Drosophila melanogaster: one gene and its partner. Changing the gene in region 2 together with the main gene of any one other region gives a genetic interaction. Each region holds a gene or a part of one and is shown on either strand. Other genes may lie near its edges.

Evidence for each region. A genetic interaction does not mean that the proteins touch.
Region 1: of AIF (region 2) and Trx2, changing one suppresses a phenotype caused by changing the other (phenotypic suppression), as found in Drosophila melanogaster (one study listed by BioGRID).

The regions. Positions count from the first base shown.
Region 1 is NT_033779.5:9,611,493-9,616,921, reverse strand, and holds Trx2 (thioredoxin 2), read right to left. Parts: upstream 3,757-5,429; 5' UTR 3,547-3,756; intron 3,509-3,546; exon of another isoform or gene 3,490-3,508; 5' UTR 3,406-3,489; coding exon 3,382-3,405; intron 1,621-3,381; coding exon 1,474-1,620; intron 1,391-1,473; coding exon 1,241-1,390; 3' UTR 518-1,240; downstream 1-517. Other genes in the region: gcm2, read right to left, coding at 4,387-5,360, 5,420-5,429. UniProt on the Drosophila melanogaster protein: Participates in various redox reactions through the reversible oxidation of its active center dithiol to a disulfide and catalyzes dithiol-disulfide exchange reactions. As a reducing substrate of peroxiredoxin 1, thioredoxin 2 is preferred over thioredoxin 1.
Region 2 is NT_033779.5:2,150,041-2,155,647, reverse strand, and holds AIF (apoptosis inducing factor), read right to left. Parts: upstream 3,895-5,607; 5' UTR 3,614-3,894; coding exon 3,502-3,613; intron 3,416-3,501; coding exon 3,183-3,415; intron 2,986-3,182; coding exon 2,704-2,985; intron 2,646-2,703; coding exon 2,543-2,645; intron 2,367-2,542; coding exon 2,117-2,366; intron 2,053-2,116; coding exon 1,238-2,052; intron 1,176-1,237; coding exon 751-1,175; 3' UTR 543-750; downstream 1-542. Other genes in the region: Tbcd (Tubulin-binding cofactor D), read right to left, coding at 4,195-4,800, 4,853-5,319, 5,387-5,607. UniProt on the Drosophila melanogaster protein: Probable NADH oxidoreductase. Mitochondrial effector of cell death that plays roles in developmentally regulated cell death and normal mitochondrial function.

The sequences.
Region 1 (5,429 bases), 7.5 Mb from region 2:
CTCACTCTCACGCTCTATTTTATTGTTTTCCACAGCGATGCAATTTCCCGACGTGTTGTTGTCACCGAGAGTCTGACACTACTGAAAAAAAAACACTACTGAAAAATCGGGCAATTTTCGCTCCCACCACCAACACAGCTGGCGCAGTGTTGCATTCGGTTTTTGTCCCCACTAAGCCAAGTATCGATTGTTCGTCCAAGCCTAACGGCTTATTTTCAAATGTTTAAAATAAATGTTGAATTAATTAAAAATAGTTTCTTAATTAATCACTTTGTTTTTATATTGTCTCCCATTTACTTTCGTTCTTTAACTTTATGGCAAGAATCAACTTGGCAACTTTCGATATGCTGTCAAACATAATTTGGACAAATTTAAATCTTTTGATATTATTGATCGCAAGAAAGGTACCTTTTACCTTATTTTCATTTTCAAATAAGTTCATTTATTTATTAAATTTTTTAATAATGCCTAGTGATATTCTATAGTTCAATCACGGATTCAAGGAAATATATAATTTGTTTTTGAATTTCGTTGTCAATATACATATGTAAAAATATATTTTTTGACAGATAAAAAGAGCCTTCTCAAAATGGAAATTTTAAAATTAGCTTTAATCTGGTGGATTTTAATTATGAAATGGCCATTTTGATCACGCACTTGATATGCCTTTGGAGTATACAAATTTGTTGCCGTATCTTATCTAATCGGTAGTTACCCGGTTTTAATCGTTATTACTTAACCGTAACGACATTTGTCTGCTTGTTGGCTACTGATATTTGACTTGGCTTTCATTTCACAACTTTATGTGTCATTCCTAGATCCGACCTCACCCCAGGTTCCCCTTCAGAATTTTGCAAAACAATTTAATCGGTTACAAACGGCGAGTGTGTAATACATTTATTGTTTAGCGTATTCTCTTGGACAACTGGCTACAACTGCGTTTTCTAATGTTTTTCATACAAAAATGAACAATCTTTGTGTGATTTATTGATTTTGTTAACAAAGCAAATTTTACGTTTAAAAGCCACTTAGTTTCTCACGTTTGTTGCTGTTCCAACTGCTGCCACTGCTGACCTTCACCTTGCGAACTGCACTGCAGCTCTAAGGGATTCAAGGACAAGGCGGAGCAGGCGGAATGGAGCAAAACCCTGCACTTATGGAATTAATTAATTAACTAAATGTTATGAAGAAAACTCATAGGTGGATCAGGGGGACGGCCAGACGTCTATGCGCTGCCCACTTAGATATTGGCCTTGATGACATCCTCCAGACGCTTGGCGTTGGCTCCGGCGAACTCTTCGACCTTGACGCCGTTCTTGAGGAACACGAAGGTGGGCATGCTGGAGATGTTGTATTCCATTGCAATGTCTTCGCATTCGTCCACATCGACCTGTAGGAGAAGGGCATTTAGTAAGGATTTCCATAAAAAGTGTTAAGCAAATAAAATAAAGCTGAGCACATTTTTAGATTTACCTTCAGGACGACGACGTTGTCGGCGAACTGCGTGGAAAGCTCAACCAGTTTGGGCGAGATCATCTTGCAGGGTCCGCACCAAGTGGCGAAGAAATCCAGCACCACCAGCTTGCCGGATGCCTTGGTCAGCTGTCCATCGAGATCGGCCTGCAAATGAAAATGTAAATTAGTACTATCTCTGAGTAATATCATCATACATTAGCGCTAATAATTTCCCACTCCCTAGAGATGTTTCAGTAATTTTCCCTTTAGCAGGTGGTGGTCATGTTTTCAAACTTTATGATTTCCGATTGTGGAGCATTGATCCGGTGCTATTGTAAATATACATATTGCGTTGGGGAGGCCCCGCTACTATCTCGCCCGATAAGCCTGTTCCCTGCAAACACAACGTTGTCAGACATCCCCAAAGTTGCCAAGCTGTAATCAGCCCCAATAATCGCCGATTGACGGGTTAAATATGTGTGTGTGCTTCATAAACTTGTGAAATCGGGTCAATTTCATTTCAGTTTCTGTATTGCACCCATTGGGCAGCAAAGCAAATCAATATTTAAAGAATTTCCAAATTATATGTATGTATGCCGAAAGGTGTGGCGGTCGTGGGCAGTTCCATCCCCTTTCTTCCACCCATTTCTCTGCCCGTGACACGTTTTCCCAATGACCTTTAATTAATTGCTAGCGATGCCAATCGCAGAACAGCACATGCAAGCACAGAGCTCTAATGAAATTGACGATTTCAATTGGAATGGGCAACCGGTTTGGAGGAATTTGCATAAGTATATGCCCAAGAAATTTAACTTTATACACGCTATTTTTGCTAGCACAAAACCACTTGATCATCCCTATTACATATTTTAATCAGGCTTAGATCATTTCTATTGCAGACACATACGTCATGGAATGATTAATCTCAAGATGGTGATGGTACTCGATGACTGTTGGCTACAATTCAATTTGTCAACATGTATTGCTGACTCATTTTTTAAGACAATATCTGAGTAAACATAAAAAACTAAAATCAGTAGTTAAACTACTTTGTTATATTGTCTAATTCAGTATGCATAAATGTTTTGATGTTTTCGTGGATTCCTTATGCCTTCGATAAGCATTTTTTGATTTTTGAGCTTATTGTTGTGTGGTTTGCTGTATAGAACTAGACCGCGAGAGTCAATGTTTGATAGTGTTTAAGTGTGTATACAAATATAAATAAACTAATATTGAGAAATAAAATAAGAAGGCATGCTTTCACGTATTTACTTCCCAATATTTCCTGACGTAACTTTGTATTCATGAAATGGAACCGGTTCTTCACCCCGCGCACTCGCGTCTTTTGTTTTCTTGGCTTTGGATCAACTTGCATGGCGCGCAACTTATGTGTGGAGAGCACACCCTGTGCTATAGCAACTATTCGAAATATTTCTAACCAAAAAACCAGGCCTCGACCACGATAATGAATTGCAAATTCATGCCAGTCGCACACACATCCGTACATATGTGGTTTCTATAGTACGTATATCTTGTTCGCACTATTTCCGATTAGCTCGGTCCGGAATATTTCAATTTCAAAATTCGGTTTCCGTTGAGACCCGTTTTGCGGTCCACGGGATGATATCATTATCATTTCGCTGTGCTGCTATTCGGAACTTTCTCGTTTGCTCTCCGCTTTCTCGCTCGTCTAGACCGAACGTGAGTTCCTTCTATTCGCGGGAGAGCGTATGGCAAAAAGCGTAGCGAATCCAATCATTCAAAGTAAGTGGCTAATTGGAATGCCGCTTCCAATGCCATATTTTCAAAGTCCGGAGCGAAAAAATAAACGTGTAACTGGAACTGAGGGGTCAAAGGGTAGCGCTATCGAGTTACCCAATAGATGACGGATGTGATGCGTCCATAGATCCGGTTGAAGTGACTCACCTTATCTTTCACCTGGTACACCATGTTGGATGGGAGATGTGGAGACGGAACCGGTAGAAATGTACAAAAGTTACTTAATTACCACTCGGGCAGCTCTTTGCAGCACAGCTAAATTTTTTACCAAAATGAGCACGTCGCAGTTGCTTTTATAGATTTTTTACTCACGCTCACGCTTCTCATTGCTATACGCTCTCTTTTTGCATATGTGTATGTCGCGTTTGGTGAAGGTGAATTTCGAATGGATAGACCGATTGGCACATCTATGCGATAGGTTTTGCTGGCCACTATGCGATTACTTTAAATGTGAAATCCTCTTGCTGAAGATAGCGATTATAACTTGTAGTACTATTCTCTTTAGTCTGGTTATGTCTGTGTGTCTGTGTCTGTGTGTCATTGTGAGTTTATCGTAAAGCAACTCTGCAGTAGTTCAGTTTCTTACCGGTAGGAGGCTTTTTAAAAAAAAACTGCAAGCCATGTAAGCGGTACAAAATTTGGGTCTTGGCAGCCAATTTGTTTTTCTTTAAATGTTTCCGCCAATTATAAAACATCATTCGTATTAAAGTATATCTTACTATCTATCGATTTTAAACTACAAATCATTAAATGCGTCCTAAAATTACTACAGTTATGGTTAAGTGAGCACCTGCTTGTCTACATTACATGGTTTTTACCATTACATTTTACATGGTTCTTACCAACAATTTTTTTACAGCGCGACATCTATCTCTGATTTCAAGAACCGCACCATCATGACCGCTGAAAATTAGCTATGTTTGAATTGGTCGCGCAATAAGAAATTATATTTACGCACTTAAATTAAATACATTTACTTTTACAAATCAACACTTTTCATAATTTATTTGCCGAGAAAAACAATTGGTAAACCGTTTAACACTACACGTACAGATGGAAATTAAGATTTCACCACTATTTTAAACACTATGTTACTATGCTTAGCTATCGACTATGAGTAATCCTCCGGTGTCCGGATTGGTTAAGTACTATTCAATGGGTGACCGATGGGGCTAGGCCTGTAGCTGCTGCTGGGTGGTGCAAGTGGTGGTGATGGTGATGGTGGTACGTCAGCGTGGGCGGTGGTGGTGGAGGCGGTGGATGGCCAGGGGGCGCGGCCACTGTCGGCGCAGTGGATCCTCCGGCAGTGGCAAATCCACCTGCTACCGCCATTTGTTGCTCGTAGCTGGTGTAGTGATCGTAGTAGCCGCCGTATCCGACTTCCAGGCCATTTCCGGTTGCAGTATTTCCTGGTGCCGTAGTAGTTCCTGTGTCGAAATAGCTGACTCCATTATAGCCACTACTGCTCTCGTAGTAGTGATGTCCCGCTGTCTGATTTCCACCGAACTGTTGGTGGCTCTGCTGCTGCTGGTGGTGGTGCTGTTGCATTTCGTACTCCGCCTTGGGGCTATAGTAGTAATCGTAGTTGTCCTCCACATACGGCTGCGTCTCCACGGTGGCATTGTACTTAATGGTGGGTCCCGGTTCGGCCTTGCAGCTGATCTCCTCCTGACCACCGCCACCACCCAAATGCTTGATCTGCGAGTAGTTGATGAACTCCGGTTCCGGAGTGGCCAGTTGCGGGCTGGAATCATAGGCTACTGCCTGGCATTGTGTGTGTCCGTGCACGGGAACACCCATCGCAAAGCTGTTCCCGCTGGAGGATTGCTGGTATGCGGCCAGTTCCGAAATGCTGCAGGCGTAGGGCAAACTGGGAGATTTACTAGGTGCCGCGGTGGCCGCCGCTGGAGTTGCATGGTAGATGGGATAGTTATAGGTGATGTGCTGGTGGTTGACCGTAAACACATTAGCTGCCGTCTCGCAGGGTGCCGATGACTCGGATCCACTTAGTGGCCAAGAATTGGTGCCGTAATTCGAGGATTGTGACAACTGATGGCTCCTCGCCGTGGTGCTGTCATCCAGGTAGCTGCAAGTGCAGTGGCTATAACCGGCGCACTTGCCACAGGCTAATGGGGGATACAAATTGTAAAAGAAATCTTTAAATATTCTTGTTTTATATACCTACCATTATACTG
Region 2 (5,607 bases):
ATAAGTAACCACCTTTGGCACAAGAAGTCAGGTAGGATCCTACTTCAGCGAAAATAATATTTCGCGAATTTTATTGATCCTCGCTATATTCAGCTAATCCAGCCTAAAACCCTAAACCAGGTGCTCGTCTTTTATAAGGCAGATGGTTTAGTCAAATTCTGGGAAAATTCCAAAAAAATATGTACATTTAAATTCTGTGCCGTTGTGAGACAACTCGGACAATAAACAAATGGGTTATATGATTGAAGTAAAAAAAATAAGTTCCAAAGTTCCTACGATTTATTTAAATAAGAATCAAAGCAAAATCTCTTAGGATTAGTTAAATAACGGGTGCCTCAGGATCAAAAAGCGGATTTTTCAACACCGAAAATGAATAATTTGAACAGTTTAGTTGGTACGGTGAATTTTTTGTCAACAACTTTCTGGTGCTTGGTTTATTACGAAAGTTACACACAATTCAACAGAGACCCGCTTGTCTACGACTTTTCAATATTTACACGGAGATATGCACTTTGCTGCTACATAACCGAATCAATGTCGTTGACTACAAAATAAGGTTTATTCCAAAAATAATAAAACTAAAATTTCTGTTGCATTGCGTCATTGCCGTTCGTATCTAGTTGCAGTTGCAAATGTACACAGTAAACACAGTTAAAGGCATTCGGGTTGGATAGGTTCTGTTCGGTGCGTGCTGATAAGCATATCAGGGTAGCCAGATCTTCTCCATGGTCCCTCGGGACTCGCTGTTCTCTACGCGTGAATCTCGAACAGTTTGGCCACCTCATTGAGGTCATCGTACTTCTTATTCTGATTGATTATTGTCCTAGCTAAGCCTATCCGATTGAAGAGGTTCCACAGCAGGATGCCGACGATCTTGTCGTTCTTCAAGTAGAATATTACACCCTTGCCATAGTTGCCCGCCTCATCGGGATCACAGGTAACGCCATCTTGGCTAGCCCCGGCATCAGATTTTGACGACTGGCTGGAACTCGTACTGGTCTCCGGCACGTCGGAATCACTAGACTCAGACAGTTGGTCAACGCGCGTGGCGGATTCCGAGGGCAGGGCGAACACACCAACGGTGGGTAGCGAGGAATCCACCAAGCCAATACCCTCGTATCCGATCTCTGGACCTAGATCGGACCAAAACATGCTCTGATGTTGATAAGGTTTCTCTGCAAAAGGTACGGCGAACATTATGATCGATCGGTTATTAACTTTAAGCCCAGTAACTTACTTGCTCCCGTCATGTTCTCGCCGGCCAGCCGACCAGAGACCACCGAGTGATCATGGTGCTCCACCCGTCGCCTGCCCAGCAGAGGATCGAAGAAGCAGGAAGCATCACCGGCCACGTACAGGTTCCGCCTGGCCTCCAGCTCTGCATTAACCACAAAACCGCCGAGACTTCTGTCCACCTCTAGCCTGCTGGGTCCCGCGAGATCCGTGTTTGGCGTGCAACCCACGCAGACCACCACCACGTCCGACATCAAAGTCATTCCATTGTTTAACTCCAACTTTAGATTGGTTTCATCGCGAACTGCCGAGCGAATGCTGGCGTTGGGGATGACGCAGACACCCTGGGCTTCCATCTTTGCCGTCGTCCAGCGACTCAAGTAGTTTGGAAGGACCTTTGACATGTTGGCATTTTCCTGGAACACCTGGTACACTTTACCGCCATTGTTCTCTCTGGAATAGTGTGCCAGGGAGCAGGCCAGTTCACTGCCGATAAATCCATTGCCAACAATTGTGATTGAACGCTTTTCCGCCGCCAATTTGCGGAGGCGATCAAAGTCATCGGGTGTGCGATAGACCATTACTTTTTCGAGCACGCTGGGCGGAGCATCACGCAGCATGGGCAGGTTCTTGGGGGCACAGCCGGTGGCAATTAGGCATTCGTCGTAGCTTATCTCGTAACCGTCGTTCAACGTCACTATGCGTTTTTGAGCGTCCACCTTCTTCACAGAGAAACCTTGAGCGACGGCAATCCCTCCATTTGCATTATCATCCAGATCCTCGGGGTCAATGAAAAACTCATCCGGCTCAAAGAACAAGCTGTGAACAGGAAGGGAATAACTTAATGGGTTTCAATTATATAAAAAAAGTTATTCAGACCTACCTTCTCTCGGATCCCGTCCATTGTTTGAATCGATAGTCCTTGATGGGATCCTCGTTAGGATTGGGCGTATACCACAGTTCCTTGGACAGTGGGGGGCGCATGTAGGGTTTGCGGAACTCGTTGCTAATCATTAAAACCTTGGCTGTTGCATCGTTAGACTTGATGGCTCGGAAAGCAGAGAAGGCAGCGGTTCCGCCGCCGATAATCAGGTACGGCACATGCTTGGGAAGGTCCTCAGAACTGGGCGGACCTGCGCATAGAGAGAAAGTGATAAGTTACCTCGGCCTATCTTGAAAATTGTTGTAATTATTATCCAATCATGATGATTTTGAGGTATGTATAAGATAATGCTTATCTGAATCAGTTGGCAAATGTGGTTTAATCTAGCCTACCAATTCAAAAATCTATGGTTTTCGCTTTACTTACTCGTGGCTAGTCCAGCAACTAATCTACGTTTTCGTTCCTCCTCCTCCGCCTCGGCTTTTTTGGCTTCACTGTCATCCGTATCCCGCGTCATAAACCAAGCGAGCTATATGATAGCAAAGTAATTAGAGAATATTTCCTTTAGATATCAGATCGAAACATACAAATCCTCCGGCTAACAAGGCAGCCAGGGCACCCAAGAGGCACTTAAGCCGTAGGTCCTTCATCCGACACTCGCACTCCTCGTCTCCACCATCACCGCCACCGGGAGCAGTACCATCCTCGTCGCAGGGCTGGCAGGTGGTCTCCTTTCGTTTGCGCTTGAATTCCTCGCAGGGACTAGTCGCTTTGCAGGAATCCAGGACGGGTTGGCTGGTGCTGAGCTTTGCACTGTCCGACTTTAACACATCCTTAGCACTGCAGACGGACTTGACGTCAGCAAAGCCCTGGAAATTGATTATATTGTTTAATATTTGTTAATAACTCTGCAAGTCTTTGATGGGGATGCAAACTGGTTTCTGTTTAATAACCCAGCTATGTTTTCGCTAGTTATCAATTTCACAAGGCTTGTAGGAAGTTAGTTTGCATCCCCAACTTATCCAGCTAATGCAAATGGATGGTGAATGGTATGAACGATGGGTACCACTTTAAAGAGTGGCTCCGATTGGGAATGGGCTTGAAACTGGGCATTGGCGTAGGCGGGAACGCCGGCTCCCTCCACCGCCGTCTCGTACTCTTCAACGGGGGGCGTGGTCGAGGGCTTGGTGACGCAGACTTGATGATTTGGATATTTGTTGGCTTGCAATTTGGTGCGCGCCTCAAGGGTGCGTTTCTTTACCATTTGATAGAGGCTGCTGTGGGCTGGCCGAAGAGGAGCTGAAATCGACGTGAATGCTAGTTAGTTATCGGCAAAAACATGAAAACACGGATCGGTTTGGCCAGCCGGCCATAACCTCACTTACCGTATGCCGGCGGCGAGCGCTGCGGCACTGGACCCAATAGCCTTCTGTTGGCCAGGATGTACGCCTGCCGGATGAACCTCTGCGTCAGACATCGGACCCCCCAAATACTCATCGTGATTTGCACTGGCTGCGGAGTAGGTGACACCACAATCCACAATTGTGTAACGTAACAACGTTGTGCGGCGAAAGAAACGTGTGTTTTGCGAGTTCGTGTTTTATTTACAAAAAAACCAATTTCTATGACAAATTTCTCCGTGTGAAGTCCGGCGGTGTTTAATTGATCTCGACTCCTTTATCCCTCCTTGCTTTTGGGTAGTCCGCGTTTAATTTATATTTATTTTTCATTCCCTCGCCTGTCTTGTTTTTTTCTGTCTCTGTCGCAGTGTGACCGTCGCAATGAAATGGGAAATGGCCCAGCGCCTATTCGAAATTATTTGGCTTGAAAATAGCCACTTTTTATCAAAAAGTGTTCGTTGGTTTTTGAAATGTTGAACAATATTTAATTTATTTTGAGCAAGTGAAATTTTAAAATCGAACTTACAAGCTCTTTGTTTTGAAAACGATAAATATTAAAAAACATGTTAAAATAAAGATGTGCTTCCAAAATAAAGAATAAAAATTCTTATGAATACCACTTATGTATGTTGTCAGTACAATTGTGCATTAATATATATTAAATACATGTGGGAACATTCATTTATCAGCACTCGCTTGCTGCAAAGCGGCTGCAGCAGCTGCTCCACTTACGGGAGGCTTGATGTCCATTAGTTGGCACAACTGGTTCCGCAGCGGACGCACCTCCACCAGCGGCTGGGTCCAGTCCGTTTCGGAGAGCAGTGTTAGGATCTCATCCATATTCTCCTCGGGCACTTCGGTGACATCGCCGTGCAGAGCCAACGCTTCGTACAATTTTGTGGCAGCGGTTTTGCGAACGTGGACGTGCTGCAGTCCAAGAAATACTGAGAGCTTGGAGAGGATGCGTTTAGACAGGCGAGGAACCTGGAGCAACTGGCAAAAAGCACTGATGCTGGTCGCAGTCTTGTACAGCTTCTTGTAGCCCTTAACCTCCAGGTTGAGCAGCCTAAAGATATCCTCTGCAAAGGGATTTGCTTCATCGTGTAGAACCGATTCTACAGTTCCGGAGCCAATGAGTATATCCAGGAAACTGAGCAGAGGATAGGTCACGCGCTCGTTTAGTAGATGCTCCTCGAAAATCTGGACCACCTCGGAGCAGAGACGCGGAACAGTCTCAGGATTGGAACGCAAGAAGTGGAATAAGGCACTGGAGGCATACTTGATCTGCAGGAAGAATATTTTAGAGATTGATATAGAGGTGGTCTATACAACTTACAAGAGATTCAGTCAGTTGACCAATGCTGGCACTCAGACCCAAAAGAACTCTTTTAGAGTAATCCGGCAGAGAGAGCAGCTCGCAGAACAGCGGGAATGTGTGATCGGCAAATAACCAAAGTACGGAATCCGCATCCGCGGGAAATATTTCCAAGAGTTTTGAGTGCTCCCGTATGTAGGGGATCCTCGGCTGATGATGGATCAGTTGGCAGCAAAGGCGACCACCTAATCCACGAGTGCGATCGATCTTCTCCACCGCCTGTTGCATAAAGCCCACGACAATCTCATGCACTTGCTCTGGGGCGAGGAGATCAGGCGGACACGTAGTGACGATTTCGTATAGCGATGACATAGCCGCCTCCCTCACCCACGCTCCGATGTCACCACGGTTGTCCAGGGTGTACTCTTGAAGAGCTCTTAACAGGCATTCGATAACCTTGTTAAAGTTTTTCGGCTCAGCAAATGAGTCTGAAAAAATAATTGTATACTAAGATTTGTTCACATTCTTAGCCCACAACTAAGATCATTGACTCACCAATTCCCCCTCCATATCCCACGGTCTTCACCAACTTGGTCAAGGCCAGCACGCTCTGTGTCCGTGCCTCGCTCCACCTGTATGCCTGGATGTTCTCGCGGTCACCCATTTCACCCACCAGAACTGCTTGCAGTGGAGTTAGGGAGTGCTTCACCAGACTGTCCAATATAGCCTGCAGATGACAGCGGATCATAAAGGATGGGAGCACACCCAGAGCAGCA